Arabidopsis thaliana: one gene and its partners. The protein of the gene in region 2 interacts with the protein of the main gene of each other region in a biochemical or structural test. Each region holds a gene or a part of one and is shown on either strand. Other genes may lie near its edges. The genes, in order: CDPK9, ABF1, KEG and CPK4.

Region 1 (4,596 bases), on a different chromosome or scaffold from region 2:
TTAAATCAGTGGCACATTTACCATGGAGACAGATGACTTACAAGTTCCTCAACACCATTATCGACGATCTCTTTGCCTTTGTCATCAAAATGCCGATTTTACATCGACTTTCTGTATTCAGAGATGGTGAGTAAAATCTATCAAATTCCTCTCTATTTCGATTCAGATTTTCAGAAACAGTCTTATTTAATGGATCTCTCTCTCTGTGTTTCAGATGTGATATTCTTGATATACTTATACCAAAGGTGGGTTTACCCAGTGGATAAGACACGTGTGAACGAGTTCGGTTTTGGAGGTGAGGATGAAACTGCAGAGAAGAAGTTGATCACTGAGAAAGAAGAAGAAGACAAGAAAACAAACTAATCTCTTCTCTTCTTCAAATTTTATTACAGTTCAGTTATAGTGTCTTAATTTATTTTTGTTCTCACTTTTGGAAATTGTTTTGTTCAAGTTTAATGTCAACCCTCAAGACACATTATTAAGCAACTCCTTTGGTTTTTTGTGAAAAAGGAAAAAAACAACATTTTCTCTAAAGCTCTGAGATATGGTAAAATCCATGGGAAAATTCTACAAATTGTTGAGAGCTTACAATTTCAATTACTAAGAGTTGTTAAAAGCAGAATTAGAGTAAGCAGAAACAGCAAGTTGTATCATATGACATGTTTTGCTCCATAAAGTCGCTAAATTATTTTCACTAAAAATGAGTACTTCAGACATTCATAGACTCATCAGGAAGAGTAGTTCCAAAGTTGAGAGAGTTCCTCATAGTTCTCCGACCAATCCCTCCTCCAGTGCCATTTCCTTTCCTCATCATTGCCACAAATTCTCCATAGTCTATTTGTCCATCCTACAAAAAAAAAGCAACCACCATAAACATTTCTTCCAAGCTCTTCATCAAACAAACAGTAAAGATCATTTGTGTACTACTCACATTATCTTGATCAATGTCTTTGATCATTTCATCAAGATTAGAATCGTTTATACCAAACTCCTTCCATGCCTGTTGAAGCTCTTCGATAGTGATGTAACCACTTGCATCCTTATCAAAGAAAGAGAATGCAGCTACTAGATTCTCCTCTCTCTCCAGCTTGTTCAAGTGGATTGTTGCAGCTAAGAACTCTCCATAGTCAATTGTTCCACTCTCATCAACATCAGCCTAACACACACACACACAATGAGAAGATGATATTACTTCCAGCCACAACAAAGATGTTAAAAGTGAAAGTTGATAATAAAGGAGTAGTAGCTAGTTTACCGCACGCAAGAGTTCTTGGATCTCTGATTCCATAAGCTCTGACCCAACACGTCTCATACTATCTTTTAACTCTTCAAACGTGATAGTCCCACTTTTATCTGTGTCTATCATTTTGAACAGTTCTTTGAGACCACCGATTTCTTCCTCAGATAGTCTCTCTGCAATAACTCGTAAAGCCATCTTCTTAAGTTTGTTCATTGCAGAGAACTTCTTCAGGCGGGACACTACCGCGCAGTCCAAAGGTTTATCTGGAGCAACCTTATCATCCACAATCCACGGATGACCTGACACAAGAACATATGAATCAGCTTACAAGAAAAAAAAACTCATCAACTTTCGCAGACATGACAACTTACACAACACTTGATGAGCAGTTAGCCTCTTTTTAGGATTGCTTTCAAGCATTTTCTTTATAAGATCTTTGGCACTCTCTGAAATGCTAGGCCAAGGATTGATCTCAAACTCCAACTTTCCCTGTAAAATCTTCCTGAAGATGCCTATTTCACTCTCTGGATACAGAATAAGACACCGAGAGAGAGTAAGCACTTGGTGGAAACAATGCATTTATAAAGAAAGAAGGCATTGGAAATATACCAGCCCAAAAAGGAGGAAAACCACATAAGAGAATGTAGAGGATAACTCCAGCACTCCATACGTCACATTCAGGACCATAATGCTTATGTAAAACCTCAGGTGCCACATAGTAAGCACTACCAACGAGTTCCGAAAATGCTTCTCCTGAAAGACAAAGATTTGTGTGTCCAAAACAAGAGCTCCTTATCAAACTAATTCAGCTAAACCACACACAGTCACTGCATTTGAAAGATGGGATCTTAAGCAAGGGGTCAATGTGCTCTTTTAAAGTACTACTAATAGACAAACTGACTCATCAAGTAACGAAATTGATACTCATAAACATCCCCAACACAGTCACGGAACAAAATTAGAGAAGAACAAGAACAAATTCACACCTGGTGTGCAGAAAACAGAGAGGCCAAAGTCAGTAGATTTAAGAGAAGCATCTTCATCAGAAGAAGAAAACAAGAAATTCTCAGGCTTAAGATCTCTATGAACAACACCAAGAGAGTGACACGCCTCAACAACCCCAACAATGGTCTTGATAAGCTTAGCAGCTTCTCTTTCACTGTAATGACCTCTCTTCACAATTCTATCAAACAACTCACCTCCTTCACAAAGCTCCATCACAAGATGCACGTTTTTGGTGTCCTCGTACGCACTCTCTATACGGACAACGTTGGGGTATTCAGACAAGTGATGCATTATCTGGATCTCTCTCAGAACGTCGTCGTAATCTTCTTGACAAAGGAGCTTCCTTTTGGGTATGGATTTGCAGGCAAGCTTTTGACCTGTCTGTTTATGGGTACAGAGGAAAGTGGTTCCGAATTGGCCTTGTCCAAGGACTTGACCAAGAAAGTAATTGTCTTCAACGTTTTTGGTCTTGTAAGGAAGAACCCATCTGGTTCTTGGTTTGTTCGCCATTCTTGAGAGCTTTTTTTTATTTCTTTGAGGGTTTCGTTTAAGCAGAGGAAGAAGAAGAGAAACTGTTGAATGAGGAAAGAAACTGACTTGGAGAAGGCATTGAAGAGAGAGAGAGAGAGAGAGAGAGAGAGAGGGAAGTCAAGAGTTAGGAGAGAAATAAAACCAAGTTTTGGACAATGATTGATTAGCTAATAATAGCTTTCCATTTCAGATTTTTTGTCCACATCAAATGAAAAAATGGGAAGTAAAACAAATTCCATGAATGCTTTTAACTGAATGAAGGAAAAAAATTCATTGATAGTTGAATTATTAATTAGTTGATATTTTTATATTTTCTAAATATATAAATTTGGTCAAATACTCAAATATATTAATCAGGTAATATACTACCAGAGTCCAAATTTTTATTTTTATTTTTAACTTTATTAAAGTTAAATAAATTTAATTGTTTAATAAGGCACAATGCATTCAAAATGTACAATATTGCCTCTTTTAACTTTTAAGAAATAAAATTATATGATATCTAATAGTATAGACTAATTAAAGAAGTAGTTGTAGCGATAGTGTTAATTAATTTAATACTTTATTGCATACTTTTTGCAAAAAAAAACAATGTAATTTACAACTTAAAACTGCAATAAAAAGGAAAAAAAAAAAGTTAATTGAGTTTTTATGAATAAAATTTTCTACTTAATGAAGATATGTATCTACACTACGTACAGTACTTAGGGCACTAAATAAAGGCAAAAACGTCTCCTTCGCTTACATACGAAGAAACTGTAGCTCGTTTTAAATTATAGCCTTTTTTTCCTAAACCTAAATTACTTTTATTCAAGAAACTATTTTTGTCACATGTATTTTCTGCTAATATGATGAAGACATCGAATCATTTTAGAAAAGAAAATTAAAAGGAAAATTTCATTCTCTTTCATACGCATTCTAGTTTGTGTCTTTGCCTCCTCTCGTTTGGTTTCTAACTTTCTGTCAGTGTCCACTTTATTTATTTAGTAACCATCAACCCTGTGCTTAATTACATTTTAAATCCATATATCTTCTAAACATCACATTTTTATACTATTGTAGTGATTGAATTATCAAATAAATGAGATATTTGGTGAAATCATGGACAAACACATGAAATCTACAACAGAATTCCAAATGAAACTAGATAAAGGAATATTATACAAATCCAAAATTTTCTTCAAAACAAAAACTTGTTTGAAAAAGACTTCCGGTACAAATTGAAAGCTCTCCTGAAGATGATACGAAGCATTTTTTTTTTCGAGAAGAGTTAGAATTTTAAATTCTACAACAACAACTGATATGAGATTGGATGTACACAAACAATGTATAAGGAGCTTAATTCTTAATCATGAAGCAGAGCTTTATTCTTTATCACTTTGGTCTTGAAGGAGCTTTGTTCTTGATCATGTGGCTTAAACCCCTCGCTTTTTCTGGTCCATAGCCGCCTGTTGAAGAGAGTAAAATATGAGAGTTCTTGAGAAAAAAAAACACAAACGAATGAATCAGCAAGAACCTGAGGAGCGTAGAAAAATACCTGTAGCAGTCTTTGCATGACGGCATCTTCATAAGCTTGAAGACCGGCACCTACTATGTTACTCTGCGGTTCTGCTTCTGCAGATTTCTTAGCCGTCAGAAAATCAGTTTGGGCTGCTTTCTGAAGAGGTACAACCAACAATGGATTAGAAAGATTGCCACACAATGTCCTCGTCGCTGCAACCTATAAGACAAAAAACAAATTGAATCAATTTAACTTCTTGATGTATAAAGAAAAAGAGAGAAACCAACTTAGTAAAATAGTACTCACAGCTCCATCCTTT
Region 2 (4,877 bases):
TCATATAATCTAAAAAATTAATAGTTAATTGAGATGATAAGGGTAAAATTAAAATTTTATTTTTGTTGTCAGATCGTGAGTATGAAAATAACAATATTTAATTGTTTGAATATTTAAATTGCACAGTTTTATTATTTCATGTATTTTTCATGTATTTTTCTTCTTAGAAAAAACAATTGGGTATTAAACGTTTAAATAAAAATTAGTTAAGGTTTTTTTTTGGATTTTTACCCATTAGAAAACTCTTCCTTTTCATTTATTTTTACTTCTAGTAGTAGAGGTAATTTTTCTTTTTTGATTAACAAAGTCGTGAGGTTTGTTAGTAGAGACTAGAAAGTTGTTGAATGGGTAATTGATATGTTTTGCTCCACAAGAAAGCGGAAGTTTTTAAAAAAAAAGAAACAAAATTAGCATTACAATACCAATGATTACATATGTAAACAATATTTCCCGGAATTAGCTCGTATGAATCTAAATTAATATTGACAAAAAAAAAAATACCAATGATCACATATATGACAAAAAGAAAGAATGAAGGAGAACTCTATCATGGTTTGATGCTCATTCTATACGCTGGCCCAACGGTGACACGAAAGTAGACAATTCTTTTAAATAAGTTATCAAATTATAAAGAAGTAGAAATCATCAACATACCATTTACCAAGTGAGGAGAGGGCAAAATTTCCAAATTTGGAAGTGAATTGTATTAAACTCGACGCAAATCTTCTTAAAAGTCTTCTTCTTTTGGGTTGCTTGGATATAATGATTATTGCTTGATGTCAAAATTCGCACACCATTGGGATGATGGGACCCAAAAAGAATCACTACCCACTTCTGCCGTTGTTTCAACATCATTCATGTATAATAATCACAGTTTATCAAGCACACAAAATATCTTACATGAGTAACAACAATATGATATTAAAATTAATTTGGCACATAATTTAATCATTTGGTGTTCCGACCGACATGATACTATACTATAATTTTATTCCCATTTCATTTCTTATTTTTTTATATGCATAGAAAATTATTTAAATGCAAAATAAAATTTTAACCAAAAACCTCTAGTCTAGTAGTTTGTTCGATTGTATATAGAGTATTTTGTCATGTGCATAGATTACCACCATCTACGAACATTGTTGTGGTTTGATTTTCTCTTTGATCGCGGTAAACACCAACAATATATGACTAGACATTCATAAACTTCAGATGAGTTAGGATTTGATTTTTTAGAATTTTGGTTTTGAAAAAAAATTAGCCAACTAAAAATCAAACAAAAATTTACTGCGGTTCATAAGTAAAAAAAAAATCAATTTCCTTTTTAGTAATTTTCTTGGAGTCGAATTGAAGTAAAATTGTGCAGTTTACAACACAGAATTCGATATTTAAAAAATTTCTGTTGGCGAATTAAAATTGAAATACTATAATTATCCAAACTTTCTTCGGTTAGTTAATTAAGATCAGAAATAATGTCTAAATGGCAAGGTTAATATGGATATTTGTATCAGATCTAATCCCATTTTTAAAGAAAACAAACAAGGCAAAGGACACAATCAGCGACTAAAGCTCTCACACGTTACAGCTTCTTATTGGTTAAAAATGAACGTGGTTGTCAGCTAAATTAAGTGACTATGTTTAATAATCATTAAAACGGGATATTTATTAGTTTATTACCAAAAAATGAAAGCAAAATATCTAAACAATAAATAAAATAAAAAACCATAAGAGGAAAAAGCTTAACCCCTTAAAATGGCAGTTCGTGTCGAAGCTACTACAAACACACTTGTCGTCTCTTCTCTCTCTCGCAGCTCTTCTCTATTTTCAGCAATCGCCTATAATATTAGGTAAAGCTTCCTTCTTTTTGTTTATCCGTTTTCGTTTTCTTTTCTTCTCGAATCTGTCTTTGTCTTATCACATCCCCTGAAGTGTTATACTTTTTTTTTTTTTGGGTCCGATTCATAATATCTGTTTTGTCTTTTTTTTGGTTCTATGTTCTAAATCAAGTAGTAGTAGTAATGAAGTAACTATTCCTAAAGAAATTAAAGGATAAGACTTTTTTGTTTTTCTTCTTGAGGGTTTGTGTGATCTTGCTTTTACTCCAGAATCTTTTATAGATCTATCTTTTAGATACATTCAAGAATGGTCAAAGTTATGGATTTTGATCCAATCTTATATTTCTCTCTGAATCCAAGGATCCAATTTATACTCTCTGTATCACACACTTCTATGTATATGTTTGTGATTGATTGCTTCTGGCTAAAACTTTATAAAGTTTTGACATTTATATGAACGTTCCTGCCTTTTGCTTTTGGTCTTCTTTGCTTGCTCTTATGCAAGTATACTTAAAAGCACTATGTGACACATAGTTGTGTGGTGTGTTATACTCCTAAACCAGTTTCAATTTTCTGGTCTTGTTCTCTCTTAGGTAAAGCTAAAAGGGTCTGATTCGTTTGTTTTTTCACTGAAGAATTTGGAAGGAAGTGATTCCGTTGTGAAACAGAAAAGAAGTATGGGTACTCACATTGATATCAACAACTTAGGCGGCGATACTTCTAGAGGGAATGAGTCAAAGCCATTGGCGAGGCAGTCTTCGTTATATTCCTTAACGTTTGATGAGCTTCAGAGCACATTAGGTGAGCCGGGGAAAGATTTTGGGTCTATGAATATGGATGAGTTACTCAAGAACATATGGACTGCTGAGGATACTCAAGCCTTTATGACTACTACATCTTCGGTTGCAGCCCCGGGACCTAGTGGTTTTGTTCCGGGAGGAAATGGTTTACAGAGGCAAGGCTCCTTGACCTTGCCTAGAACGCTTAGTCAGAAGACTGTCGATGAAGTCTGGAAATACCTGAATTCGAAAGAAGGTAGTAATGGGAATACTGGAACGGATGCGCTTGAGAGGCAACAGACTTTAGGGGAAATGACTCTGGAAGATTTCTTACTCCGTGCTGGCGTTGTTAAAGAAGATAATACTCAGCAGAACGAAAACAGTAGTAGCGGGTTTTATGCTAACAACGGTGCTGCTGGTTTGGAGTTTGGATTTGGTCAGCCGAATCAAAACAGCATATCGTTCAACGGGAACAATAGTTCTATGATCATGAATCAAGCACCTGGTTTAGGCCTCAAAGTTGGTGGAACCATGCAGCAGCAGCAGCAGCCACATCAGCAGCAGTTGCAGCAGCCACATCAGAGACTGCCTCCAACTATCTTTCCAAAACAAGCGAATGTAACATTTGCGGCGCCTGTAAATATGGTCAACAGGGGTTTATTTGAGACTAGCGCAGATGGTCCAGCCAACAGTAATATGGGAGGAGCAGGGGGTACTGTTACAGCTACTTCTCCTGGGACGAGCAGTGCAGAAAACAATACTTGGTCATCACCAGTTCCTTACGTGTTTGGTCGGGGAAGAAGAAGCAATACGGGCCTGGAGAAGGTTGTTGAGAGAAGGCAAAAGAGAATGATCAAGAATCGGGAATCCGCTGCTAGATCAAGGGCTCGAAAACAGGTAAAGTTACCGTTTTGTTCTCAAAAACTTTGATATCAATATCATCTAACCAAACTGCCATTACCGTTTTCTTTTCAAGAACTTTGAAATCATTTTGATGTTTTGGCTAAACCTCAGGCTTATACCTTGGAACTGGAAGCTGAGATTGAAAGTCTCAAGCTAGTGAATCAAGATTTGCAGAAGAAACAGGTTTTTTTCTTCTACCATTTTTATTGCTTCTCCATAGAGAGTCTAGCTGGCTCAGTTATTTAACTGCGGTCTCTCTATGTTGCAGGCTGAAATAATGAAAACCCATAATAGTGAGGTAATAACGTTTTTCCTCTACTTATGTATATTTCATGTATACACCATCATTGTCTCTACATTACCAGACATTTTGTGTCTGTCTAAATGTAGCTCTATTGTCATTTTGATGACACACAGTTCACTGATACTAGTACTTGAATTTGCAGCTAAAGGAATTTTCGAAGCAGCCTCCATTGCTGGCCAAAAGACAATGCTTGAGAAGAACCCTTACCGGTCCGTGGTAAGAAGGTGAAGTCAAAGCAAGAAGAACCTGCTAATGTAATACAGGACCACTCAAAAGGAAGACACTGGGAGAGTAATATGTAATAGAAGATAGTGCTACTGTACAGGAGAAATTACAGAGACGCTTACAATGTAGAAATCTTTTGAGCTGAATTTAACTAAGAGTGCAGTCTGTGTAGAGTATGAGAGCTTTCAATATGAATTCATAATTTTCATAAACATATGTAAAACTTTCAGATTTAGCTATAGAGAAGATGTGACTAACTCAGAAAGAAAATCCGTTAATTGGAGAGTGAGGTAAACTCCGGCTGTAATGTGACCTGGAAGTAGTACTAGACGATGGACCAAAGATCCGGGAATCACCTCTTTGAATTCTCAAATTGCTTCTCTTCCTACTATCCCAGCCTATCTCTTCTTCAACCGCTTTAGCAAATGCGCTATGCACCGGATCACAGCTTTCACACAACAGCCTCAAGACTTGCTTAATTGATGGCCTAGACCGGCCTTCTTTCTCGGTACACAATCTCACAACCGTCACAACTGCATCAAGTTGTTTTCCTCCAGCATCATTAATAGAGTCTTTGATTCTCGGGTCTACCAACTCGAGGTGTTTTGATTTCGCCAACAAAAACCGCTGAGACATTTCCACAAGGTTCCTACCTTCATCAACTGCTCTTCTCCCGGTTATGAGCTCCAGCAACACAACTCCGTAGCTGTACACATCACTCTTCTCTGTCAACTCTTGCGTTACTACATATTCCGGATCTACATAACCTGAAAAAACTTCAAGTTTTTAAAACTCAGCTTCCATCAAAAGTAGTCAAGTTATTCTGTTCAG
Region 3 (4,929 bases), on a different chromosome or scaffold from region 2:
TTCATCAGTTAAACCCCTCCAACCAATGCCAATGTTCAAAGTAGCTATATCCGCCCCTTGAACAACCTCCACAATTCTCCTCTCTGCGTAAGTTGTAAATCCCTATTGCCATGAACATGAAATAAACACTTTCCCATCAACAAGGCAAACTCTAAAAACGGACACACAGTTACACATCCTAATTTGTAGCTAAAAGAAGCAAAAGCACAAGACAATTCAAAGCTACCTCATTCAACCAGAAGTGTTCATTGTTGATATTAGTGATCAAATTCCCAGTCCAGCTATGTGCGAGCTCGTGAGCTACAACTTGAGCTCCAGTGGCGTCTCCTTTGATAACAGTAGGCGTCAGGAAAACCATTCTTGGATTCTCCATACCTCCATAAGGAAAACTCGGAGGCAGCACCAGTAAGTCAAATCTCTCCCACTCGTAATCTCCAAACAGCTTCTCCCCTTGCTTGATCATATCCTCCGTTCCTGCAAACTCCAGAGCAGCCGCATCTAGAACTTCAATGGCGGCAGATTCTGTGTATACCCGAGTCCTAGGTCCAACTTCCCGAAACCCTAACTCACCAACGGCAAAAGCAAATAGATAAGGCGGTATAGGCTGTTCCATAGCAAACTCTTCCACAACTCTATCCTCACCACACCACAGTGACGACCCCAGCGACCCAGCCTCGAGATGTTTAGCCTCCTCAGGAACCGCAAGCCTACGACGGACGTGGCGAGCCGACATGACGGCAGAGAGCGAATTCGGTATGTTCATAACGACGTCGTAACGGATCCTCGCGGCAGGAGTGTCCTGGCATGGGAAAATGGATCTGGCGTGAATCGCTTGACACTGCGTGTAGACATAAGGATGCAATTTGGAGAAAGTTTGAAGCGGCGAAAGCCACTGGAGAGCGGAAGCAGAAGGCGAAGTGGAGTAGACAATTAGCAGTGAAGATTGACCGGAGAGGACTACGACAACTTCGGTGCCCCGAATTCGATCCGGTGTGGTGGAGACGGAGTAAGGGATAGGCTCGAGAGTGAGAGGATCGAGGACCATAGCAATGGAAATGCAGCGAGTATCAAGAGAGAGTTCGCCGGAGAAGGCGGAGGAGAGAGTGAGGAGAGCGGAGCCATGGATTATGGAGGTGTTGAAATCGAGGTAGAGGGAGAGAGCGACATGCGTGGTGAGAGGATGAGAGGAATCGGTGAAAGAGTGTGGATCAATGGGTGCCATTGCTGAGTGAGAGAAGCTTGCTTAGGGTTTTGAGGAAAGGGGCAGTTAGAGAGGTGGAGAAGAGAGTATAAAGCGGGAGAAAAAGAAAAAATGAAGAATTGTTGTTCGATGGTACCATTTTATGATGATAAATAATGTATTTTTGGAATAATTTGGTTAATGGAGAATCATTTAGTGCATAAAGTTGAAACCGTTAGATATTAAACGGCGACTAAATACAATGTTAAACCCAAGTTGGATGAACCAAAAGCACACCAAGCCACCAACAATCCTGAGATTTTTAACAACCATCTTTTTGGGCTTGAGCCTCTATTGAGCTTCAAGTTTTAGGTCCATGAGTTATACACTCACACGAGTAATCTACTTAGCAACAAACAACGAGTTTACATTTTGGTATTGGTGTCAGATTTATCGTCTCATTATTTGGTGAACTCTATTACAAGATCAAACAATCTATTTGTTTTTGCATTTGGCTCAAAAGCTACTTGGTAAAAACTTCGCCAAAAAAAAAAACTCTCAGTAAAAATTACAATTATTTTTTCCTGATGGTTTAAGTTGTTGATGACAACAAATATAAAATCTGATGGTTGACGATTACTACTATTAGGAGAGTCAATAAACGGGTTCGAGCACAAGTGCTGACGGCACCCACCCGTCAAAACCGACGAAACCAGAGAGCCCTCGAGACTCAACCCCAAATAAAATTGGAAAAAAATGAAAATAAAAATAAAAATGATGATATAAAACCCTGAAGAAGAACCTTTTTCACATTTTTCTTACAATTTTTATTCTTGCTTGCTCGTGTCTGATTTTTCCCAGCCAATTTTGATCTACCTTTCAAAAATTCCACCTTTTTCTTTCTTCTCCATGGATCTGTTCTTCTCTCCTTGATCTGGATCGACTTTACTGAGTTTCCTTCCCCCCCCCCCCCCCCCAGATATGTTCTGAGGAACTCTCTCTACTGAATTGATTGGTCTTTCACTCCCTTCTTACTCTTTGATCTCGCGACCTAAATTAATTTAGGGCTTTCTCTTTTCGGAGCTCTCATGGTTGGGAGAGTCAAGGTCCCTTGTTGTTCCGTGTGCCACACGCGGTATAATGAAGATGAGAGAGTTCCTTTATTGCTTCAATGCGGCCATGGCTTCTGCAAAGATTGTCTTTCCAAGATGTTCTCTACTTCTTCCGACACAACCCTCACTTGTCCCCGGTGTCGCCACGTGTCTGTTGTTGGGAACTCTGTTCAGGGTCTCAGGAAGAACTACGCTATGCTTGCTCTCATTCACGCCGCATCCGGCGGCGCTAACTTCGATTGCGATTACACGGATGATGAGGATGACGACGATGAAGAAGATGGTAGTGATGAAGATGGAGCTCGTGCCGCTCGTGGATTTCATGCCTCAAGCTCGATTAATAGCTTGTGTGGTCCAGTGATCGAGGTCGGAGCTCACCCGGAGATGAAGCTGGTGAGGCAGATTGGGGAAGAGAGTAGTAGTGGTGGTTTTGGAGGTGTGGAGATGTGGGATGCAACTGTTGCAGGCGGTGGTGGACGGTGTAAGCACCGTGTGGCGGTGAAAAAGATGACTTTGACGGAGGACATGGATGTTGAGTGGATGCAGGGACAGCTTGAGAGCTTGCGGAGAGCATCCATGTGGTGTAGGAATGTTTGTACTTTCCATGGGGTTGTGAAGATGGATGGATCTCTTTGTCTTTTGATGGACAGGTGCTTTGGGTCTGTTCAGTCTGAGATGCAACGCAATGAAGGCAGACTTACTTTGGAGCAGATTCTAAGGTTCCTCTTTTGCTTCTCTTATTCTTTTTTTTTGCCTAGTATCTGGCTTTTACTGTGATCGTTTCTGTGCTTAAAGTCTCAAACTTTGATAGCCTGTTCCCTAATTAGAAATTACTGGACTAGACCCGACTTGGTTTTTTGTGATTGCTATTAGAAATATATATTGTAAGTGCACAGTTTTTCAGATTCTAGTGAAACAAGCAACTAAAACCTGGTGTCATTTGCCAAAAGGGCAACTTGTAAGATAACTTTAGTTTAGATGTTCTTAAAAAGCTAGGCACGAATTATAGTAGTTGTCATCTCTCTTTGTCATTACCAGCTGCAGCTACTTTTCATCTGTCAATGCCTCAATAGACAAACATTTTTTGGACTAGTCCTTTCCTTTTTAGTAGTGGATCCTTGAACCTACGTTTGCAAGATATCTTTGAGAAAGCCCTTTACATTAGTATGCTTCCTTCTAAAGTATATGACCAGAAATCATTTTTCAACGAACTGACATATCAAATCATGCAAAAAATTGTACGAATTGTTATACATTAATTTATCAAAGGACGCATCATCTAAAGATGATCCTTATTTTGTTGTCCTGGTTCTAATATTACCTTCAATTCACTTGTTTGTATTTCCTCCTATTTTCTGTTTTTAACTGAATTGCGTCATTTGGGACTATTAAATGTAAGCACTAATGCGTAAATGAGTGTTTTGTATTCTCCTTTCATATCGTGCTCATGTTGTTTTAAGTTTACAACTTAGAATATTCCTTCAGTGACCAACATATGTATTATTCCATTGCTCTTGTTGTGATATTAAATTTTACCAACTGTAGATATGGGGCTGATGTTGCTCGAGGGGTTGCAGAACTCCATGCAGCAGGTGTTATCTGTATGAATATAAAACCTTCCAATCTTCTTTTGGATGCAAGCGGCAATGCTGTGGTTTCTGATTATGGGCTCGCTCCCATCCTAAAGAAGCCAACATGCCAGAAAACTCGACCAGAGTTTGATTCCTCAAAAGTCACTCTATACACGGACTGTGTAACACTCAGTCCACACTACACTGCCCCAGAGGCTTGGGGACCGGTGAAAAAACTTTTTTGGGAGGATGCAAGTGGTGTATCTCCAGAATCAGATGCATGGAGTTTTGGCTGTACGTTAGTAGAGATGTGCACTGGATCCACTCCGTATGTGAAGCCTCTTCCTAGTTGATATTTCAGTTGTGTTTTGTGTCTGCCATTGTACTAACTGTCACTTAATTTTACAGGTGGGATGGTCTTAGTAGAGAAGAAATTTTTCAAGCTGTTGTGAAAGCCCGAAAAGTACCACCACAGTATGAACGCATAGTGGGTGTGGGAATTCCTCGGGAATTATGGAAAATGATTGGTGAATGTCTTCAGTTTAAACCGTCGAAAAGACCAACCTTTAATGCAATGCTTGCTACATTTCTTCGTCATCTACAAGAGATACCACGTAGCCCTTCAGCAAGCCCTGATAAGTAAGAGTTTTAAGTCCCTAAGATTACTTAGTTTTATGGTTTCCCTGTTTTCGTTGCTTGTCAGTAAAGAAGACCCTTTCACTTGTGTTAAGATTAATATTAGCACCAACACCTAAGATTATTTTTGTCATCATGCCTATATTCCTTCGCCTAACAATAATATAAACCATGTATGATGTAGTGGGATTGCCAAAATATGTGAAGTAAACATTGTACAAGCACCTCGCGCGACTAACATAGGGGTCTTTCAGGATAACCCTAACAACCTACATCGGGTTGTTTTGGAGGGAGACTTTGAGGGTGTAAGGTTAGTATCTGTTAGGAATTCTAGTTAATCCTTTTGTTCGCACTAGCTATAAACAACCTGTTCTCAACTACATTGGTTTGATTTTTGTTTTGGAGTAGAAATATACTTGCAAAGGCTGCA
Region 4 (5,264 bases), on a different chromosome or scaffold from region 2:
TTGTAGTTTCTCAAACATAATAAGGGTATAATTGTCATTTATCATATATAATACAACTTTTAAGCGTTGACCGCAGCATTATGCCGCACTTACTTGCATCTGCCGCTGTTGCAGCAACCTAGATAATCAAACGAACATCTTATTAAAAAAAAACAGAAGCTGAAAGCCCAAGCTTATTTAAAGATGGGCCAATAGGGGCCTGCATAAAGTTCCAATTTTATTTAGAAAATATCTATTTAACATCATTTATGAATAAAGTGTCCTCCGATGCTATTTGGGTTTGGTTAAAGATGGATTTTGGAGGTTTTCCAAATGATGTCAGATTTTGAAGATGAACAATGAAATAAATATATCTAAAGCTTATACATCTAGGTCTCTTACCCAACGGCGATGAAATAAAGAATACATGTACTAAAACGACGCATGCAAAATAATACCTGAAATTTTCTTTCTACGTTGGAACTCATTGCAAAAGATGAGGAATATTGCATAGCCATGGATTGGATAGAGCCATAAAGAATCGGTACACATTGCTTTTCATATTTTAATATCGTTAAGGCGTAATGTAATAAGTATTAGAAATGGATTTTTAAAAGTATTTAGATAGTTCGGGTTTAAATTTTATTTTATTGCTGATTGGACTTTGTTTTACAATTATAGAGAAATAATTTTGTGTTAAATTATAGTATTATACGACATTCACACAATTACATTTACATTAACATGTACCACGTCTATTTTATAATATTGCTCCAAAACGAAAGAGTGGTCTTCACGACGAGCGAGGTTTAAAATTTGTAGTCGTGCATTGCAAAAAGCTGCGAAAACCGTGTGAACTCTCAACCAAACCAAATATGATATGAAGAAATTGGTTCTTGTCCATTCGGTGGTTAGTGTGCATGCATGTCGGTGAATTTTATATGTTTTCCATTTACGACCTTTTCTCTTTATATCATATAGATTTTTAGGGGAAAAAAAAATCATATAGATTTTTAAAAAATCATGTTCCCAATTAAGACATAATGTTTAGTAGCCAAATTGAGAACCAACCTTTTTTCTGTTTATTAAATAATTTAAGTGGATGGATTTTACACATATATTTTAATGTCTTACATAAATAAAATATCATGTTATTTTTTTTGATAATATCATGTTTTATTGATAAAATCCATACATACTTGATACTTGCAAAAAATATCATGCACAAATTTATCTCTATAAATGGTTATCTACCTTTTTTTTTTTTTTTTTTTTGAACACAATTTACCTAATAATCTTAATAAATATAAGAGAAATGTAACGCATACTTTTGTTGGACATTGTTTTTGGTCGAGTCTGATTGGTTTTTTGTTCAGATCTATCGGATTTATGTATTTAAGATCTAATAAACAAATTATAAAAAATTTGATTCGATTTGGTTATCGATTTTATTAATAATGTTAATATAATCCGACTTACTTTGGTTAGAAAAATTAATTCAAAAGTAACAACAAAAAAAAATTGGATAACAAAACCATCTAAAATCCTGCTAATTAATTCACATCTAATAACCGAATCCGAACCTAAATGACCAAACCATTTGTGTAAAAATCTCAAGCCTAGTCCCTATATTTCAATAGATTTTTTTCTTTTTTTTTTGGTCAAGATCAATAGATTTTTTTCATCAATTCAATTTATTGCAAATTTGCAATAATAGTTGGTAAATACTATAAATGTAAATGGTCACGGGATAACAAAAGAGCAATAATAATATAATAATTGCATAAGACGAGTCAACATGACCAAGAAACATTGAAGGGTTCGTAACTTCGTATCATCTTCCTCCTCCTCCTTTGATAAACACCAAAAAAAGGCAGAGACTTTCGAAATCAAGAACAATGGAGAAACCAAACCCTAGAAGACCCTCAAACAGTGTTCTTCCATACGAAACACCAAGATTAAGAGATCACTATCTCCTCGGCAAAAAGCTAGGCCAAGGCCAATTTGGAACAACCTATCTCTGTACAGAGAAATCATCATCAGCTAATTACGCTTGCAAATCAATCCCAAAACGTAAGCTTGTATGTCGTGAAGACTACGAAGATGTATGGCGTGAGATTCAGATCATGCATCATCTCTCTGAGCATCCTAATGTTGTTAGAATCAAGGGTACTTATGAAGACTCTGTTTTTGTTCACATTGTTATGGAAGTTTGTGAAGGTGGTGAGCTTTTTGATCGGATTGTTTCTAAAGGGTGTTTTAGTGAACGTGAAGCTGCTAAGTTGATTAAGACTATTCTTGGTGTTGTTGAGGCTTGTCATTCTCTTGGTGTTATGCATAGAGATCTTAAGCCTGAGAATTTCTTGTTTGATAGTCCCAGTGATGATGCTAAGCTTAAAGCTACAGACTTTGGTTTGTCTGTCTTCTACAAGCCAGGTTCGTTGTTGATTCTTCTCTTTTGATTGGAATCTTATGGTTTTTGTCTTTGTTGGTTGGTTCAAGGAAATGTTTTGATTTGGTTTCTTGATTCGGATTTGCTGCTTGAGCATTGTTAGGGAAAGATTGAATTTTGTTATATCTGGTTTTGACATTTAGTTGATATATATGGATGTGTTGATTGTGCAAGGTTTTGTTATATATGTAACATATGCTTATGGTTATGAAGCGATCTTATCAGATTTTATTCGATTCATTGTCTAGATTATGTTGAGAAATGTCTTGTTTGGTGTTGAAAATCGGTTTCATGATATGTTATCTGTAGAATCATTTGTTGAATGGTCATTTCCAATTTGCTGCTTGAGCATTGTTAGAGAACCAATAATTTTCTGTGGCTAGATCTTTCTGAATCTTTTCTTGCAAGATTTACATAGTTTTGTTGTGTTACTTATGCTTATGTAATGATGCTATCAGAGCTACATTGTGTCCGACTAATTTCAGTGCTTAACAAAATTTTCAATTGTGTGGGTTTGCATCTTCAGGGCAGTATCTGTATGATGTAGTTGGAAGTCCGTATTATGTTGCACCTGAGGTTCTGAAGAAATGTTATGGACCAGAGATAGACGTGTGGAGCGCCGGTGTTATCTTGTACATCTTACTAAGTGGGGTTCCTCCTTTTTGGGCAGGTAAGTTTGTGAAAGCTAGTACCGTTGTTACTACTGAATCAAGTATATTGCTTATGTGATTTAAGCATCCATGAGTAATTTGTTTGCAGAAACCGAGTCAGGAATCTTTAGGCAGATATTGCAAGGGAAGATAGATTTTAAATCTGATCCGTGGCCTACTATCTCAGAAGGTGCTAAAGATTTGATTTACAAAATGCTCGATAGGAGCCCCAAGAAACGTATTTCTGCACATGAAGCATTGTGTAAGTTGTTACTTATGATTGTTTTCCTCTCTGCTACATGTATTTTGTTGTTCATTTCTGTAAGATATAAGAATTGAGTTTTCCTCTGATGATATTATTAGGTCACCCTTGGATTGTTGATGAACATGCTGCACCAGACAAGCCTCTCGACCCAGCAGTCTTGTCGCGACTTAAGCAGTTCTCGCAAATGAATAAAATCAAGAAAATGGCCTTACGAGTAAGAAAGTTGTAGCCCTTTAGTCTCCACTCTCATTGCTTATTTTCAAGAACTGATTTCCCTGTTAGGAAGATCGACTAAGATAACACATTTTAAGAACTATTTTCAGGAAATGAATAAACTTAAGTAAATGGCCTTATAAGTTGGAAAGCTATAGTTCTTTAAACTCTCAATGCCATTGCTTATATTCAAGAACTGATTTCCCGGTTTAGGTAATCGCGGAGAGACTCTCGGAGGAAGAGATTGGTGGTCTGAAGGAATTGTTCAAAATGATAGATACAGACAACAGTGGAACAATCACCTTTGAAGAGCTTAAAGCAGGTCTAAAGAGAGTTGGATCTGAATTGATGGAATCAGAAATCAAGTCTCTTATGGATGCGGTAATTATACCAAAACAAAAACTCTCTTTTAGAATATTGATTTCTCCGTTCTTCTAGGAATCACAAAGCTTAAATGGTGTTTTGCAGGCGGATATAGACAACAGTGGGACAATAGACTACGGTGAATTCCTAGCAGCGACATTACATATAAACAAGATGGAGAGAGAAGAGAACTTGGTGGTTGCGTTTTCATACTTTGATAAAGATGGTAGCGGTTATATCACCATTGACGAGCTTCAACAAGCCTGCACAGAGTTTGGTCTCTGTGACACTCCTCTTGATGACATGATCAAAGAGATTGATCTTGATAATGTAAGAAGCCTTCATGATCTGTTTCCTTTGTCTTGTTTCTTAGTGAGTTTGGTTTAAAACTGATGATGAAAATATGTGGTTTTGTTAGGACGGGAAGATTGATTTCTCAGAGTTTACTGCTATGATGAAGAAAGGAGATGGTGTTGGGAGGAGCAGAACTATGAGGAACAACTTGAACTTCAATATAGCTGAAGCTTTTGGAGTTGAGGACACAAGCAGCACTGCTAAATCTGATGATTCACCAAAGTAATTATAATCATCTATATACTTGGAATTGAGAAATGAGAACTCACAAAAGAAAAACTGAATCTTTCCTTTTTGTTTTCGTTTCCACTTTTGTAGATGAGCAACTTTCTCAATTTTGTTATAAGCATGGATAATTTTGCTTCATATTTTCTGCGTATAGAACCATTATATGATCAGAATCACCCATATTTGGTCAAAGCAATGTCTTCAAGCATTTACATAATCATGTTTGTTATACATAAGCCAATAGGCTGCAGAGTCAGATCTCTGAATCAAGTATTCAATATACAAAGCCAATCATGATTCAGTAAACTAGCTACACAAACACTTACTACTACAAGGGGGTAAGAGAAGCTCTCAAATCGAAGACAATAAACAAATCAAAGCCAGAGTTAGCGATTTTAAGCTCCGCGATGTTGCAGAAACAATCTTCTTCTTTTATCTTGAGCTCATAAACACCTTTGAAATGCTGCCATGCGACTGAAAGGTGCTGCTCATCAATATCTATATAAATGATTATACTCTTCAGTCTTCGACTCTTCATTCATATACTCTCTTTCTCTTTAGAAGGGCAGGGAATATGGAGATGGATCCAATGAGGAACAGCACTGACAAGGTCTTGAAATCATACAAATCCTTTACTGATCTGAGATCTCCAAGAGCCAAACCAGCCTGTGTAAATGAAAGTAAATGTTAGCCTCTTAAACACGAAAGAACAGCGGAATGAGATTGAACAATAGACTCACTCTAACTGTGATGTACGAAG

The links.
Region 1: of the proteins of ABF1 (region 2) and CDPK9, one has a biochemical effect on the other in vitro, tested with the Arabidopsis thaliana proteins (one study listed by BioGRID).
Region 3: of the proteins of ABF1 (region 2) and KEG, one has a biochemical effect on the other in vitro, tested with the Arabidopsis thaliana proteins (one study listed by BioGRID).
Region 4: of the proteins of ABF1 (region 2) and CPK4, one has a biochemical effect on the other in vitro, tested with the Arabidopsis thaliana proteins (one study listed by BioGRID).

What each region holds. Positions count from the first base shown.
Region 1 is NC_003076.8:7,949,679-7,954,274, forward strand, and holds CDPK9 (calmodulin-like domain protein kinase 9), read right to left. Parts: upstream 2,942-4,596; 5' UTR 2,756-2,941; coding exon 2,227-2,755; intron 1,994-2,226; coding exon 1,850-1,993; intron 1,765-1,849; coding exon 1,612-1,764; intron 1,540-1,611; coding exon 1,256-1,539; intron 1,157-1,255; coding exon 932-1,156; intron 848-931; coding exon 710-847; 3' UTR 524-709; downstream 1-523. Other genes in the region: AT5G23575 (Transmembrane CLPTM1 family protein), read left to right, coding at 1-126, 215-363; AT5G23590 (DNAJ heat shock N-terminal domain-containing protein), read right to left, coding at 4,192-4,224, 4,314-4,496, 4,584-4,596. UniProt on the Arabidopsis thaliana protein: May play a role in signal transduction pathways that involve calcium as a second messenger.
Region 2 is NC_003070.9:18,398,314-18,403,190, forward strand, and holds ABF1 (abscisic acid responsive element-binding factor 1), read left to right. Parts: upstream 1-1,692; 5' UTR 1,693-1,847; intron 1,848-1,873; exon of another isoform or gene 1,874-2,470; 5' UTR 2,471-2,512; coding exon 2,513-3,511; intron 3,512-3,628; coding exon 3,629-3,700; intron 3,701-3,785; coding exon 3,786-3,840; intron 3,841-3,963; coding exon 3,964-4,049; 3' UTR 4,050-4,304; downstream 4,305-4,877. Other genes in the region: AT1G49730 (Protein kinase superfamily protein), read right to left, coding at 4,305-4,813. UniProt on the Arabidopsis thaliana protein: Binds to the ABA-responsive element (ABRE). Could participate in abscisic acid-regulated gene expression.
Region 3 is NC_003076.8:4,343,350-4,348,278, forward strand, and holds the start of KEG (protein kinases;ubiquitin-protein ligase), read left to right. Parts: upstream 1-1,852; 5' UTR 1,853-2,268; coding exon 2,269-3,011; intron 3,012-3,837; coding exon 3,838-4,191; intron 4,192-4,271; coding exon 4,272-4,502; intron 4,503-4,683; coding exon 4,684-4,809; intron 4,810-4,907; coding exon 4,908-4,929. Other genes in the region: AT5G13520 (peptidase M1 family protein), read right to left, coding at 1-102, 227-1,222. UniProt on the Arabidopsis thaliana protein: Mediates E2-dependent protein ubiquitination. Acts as a negative regulator of abscisic acid signaling. Required for ABI5 degradation, by mediating its ubiquitination.
Region 4 is NC_003075.7:6,047,683-6,052,946, forward strand, and holds CPK4 (calcium-dependent protein kinase 4), read left to right. Parts: upstream 1-1,758; 5' UTR 1,759-1,877; coding exon 1,878-2,415; intron 2,416-2,957; coding exon 2,958-3,101; intron 3,102-3,190; coding exon 3,191-3,343; intron 3,344-3,444; coding exon 3,445-3,560; intron 3,561-3,772; coding exon 3,773-3,940; intron 3,941-4,027; coding exon 4,028-4,252; intron 4,253-4,340; coding exon 4,341-4,502; 3' UTR 4,503-4,698; downstream 4,699-5,264. Other genes in the region: AT4G09580 (SNARE associated Golgi protein family), read right to left, coding at 5,039-5,170, 5,245-5,264. UniProt on the Arabidopsis thaliana protein: May play a role in signal transduction pathways that involve calcium as a second messenger. Functions as a regulator of the calcium-mediated abscisic acid (ABA) signaling pathway. Phosphorylates ABA-responsive transcription factors ABF1 and ABF4 in vitro.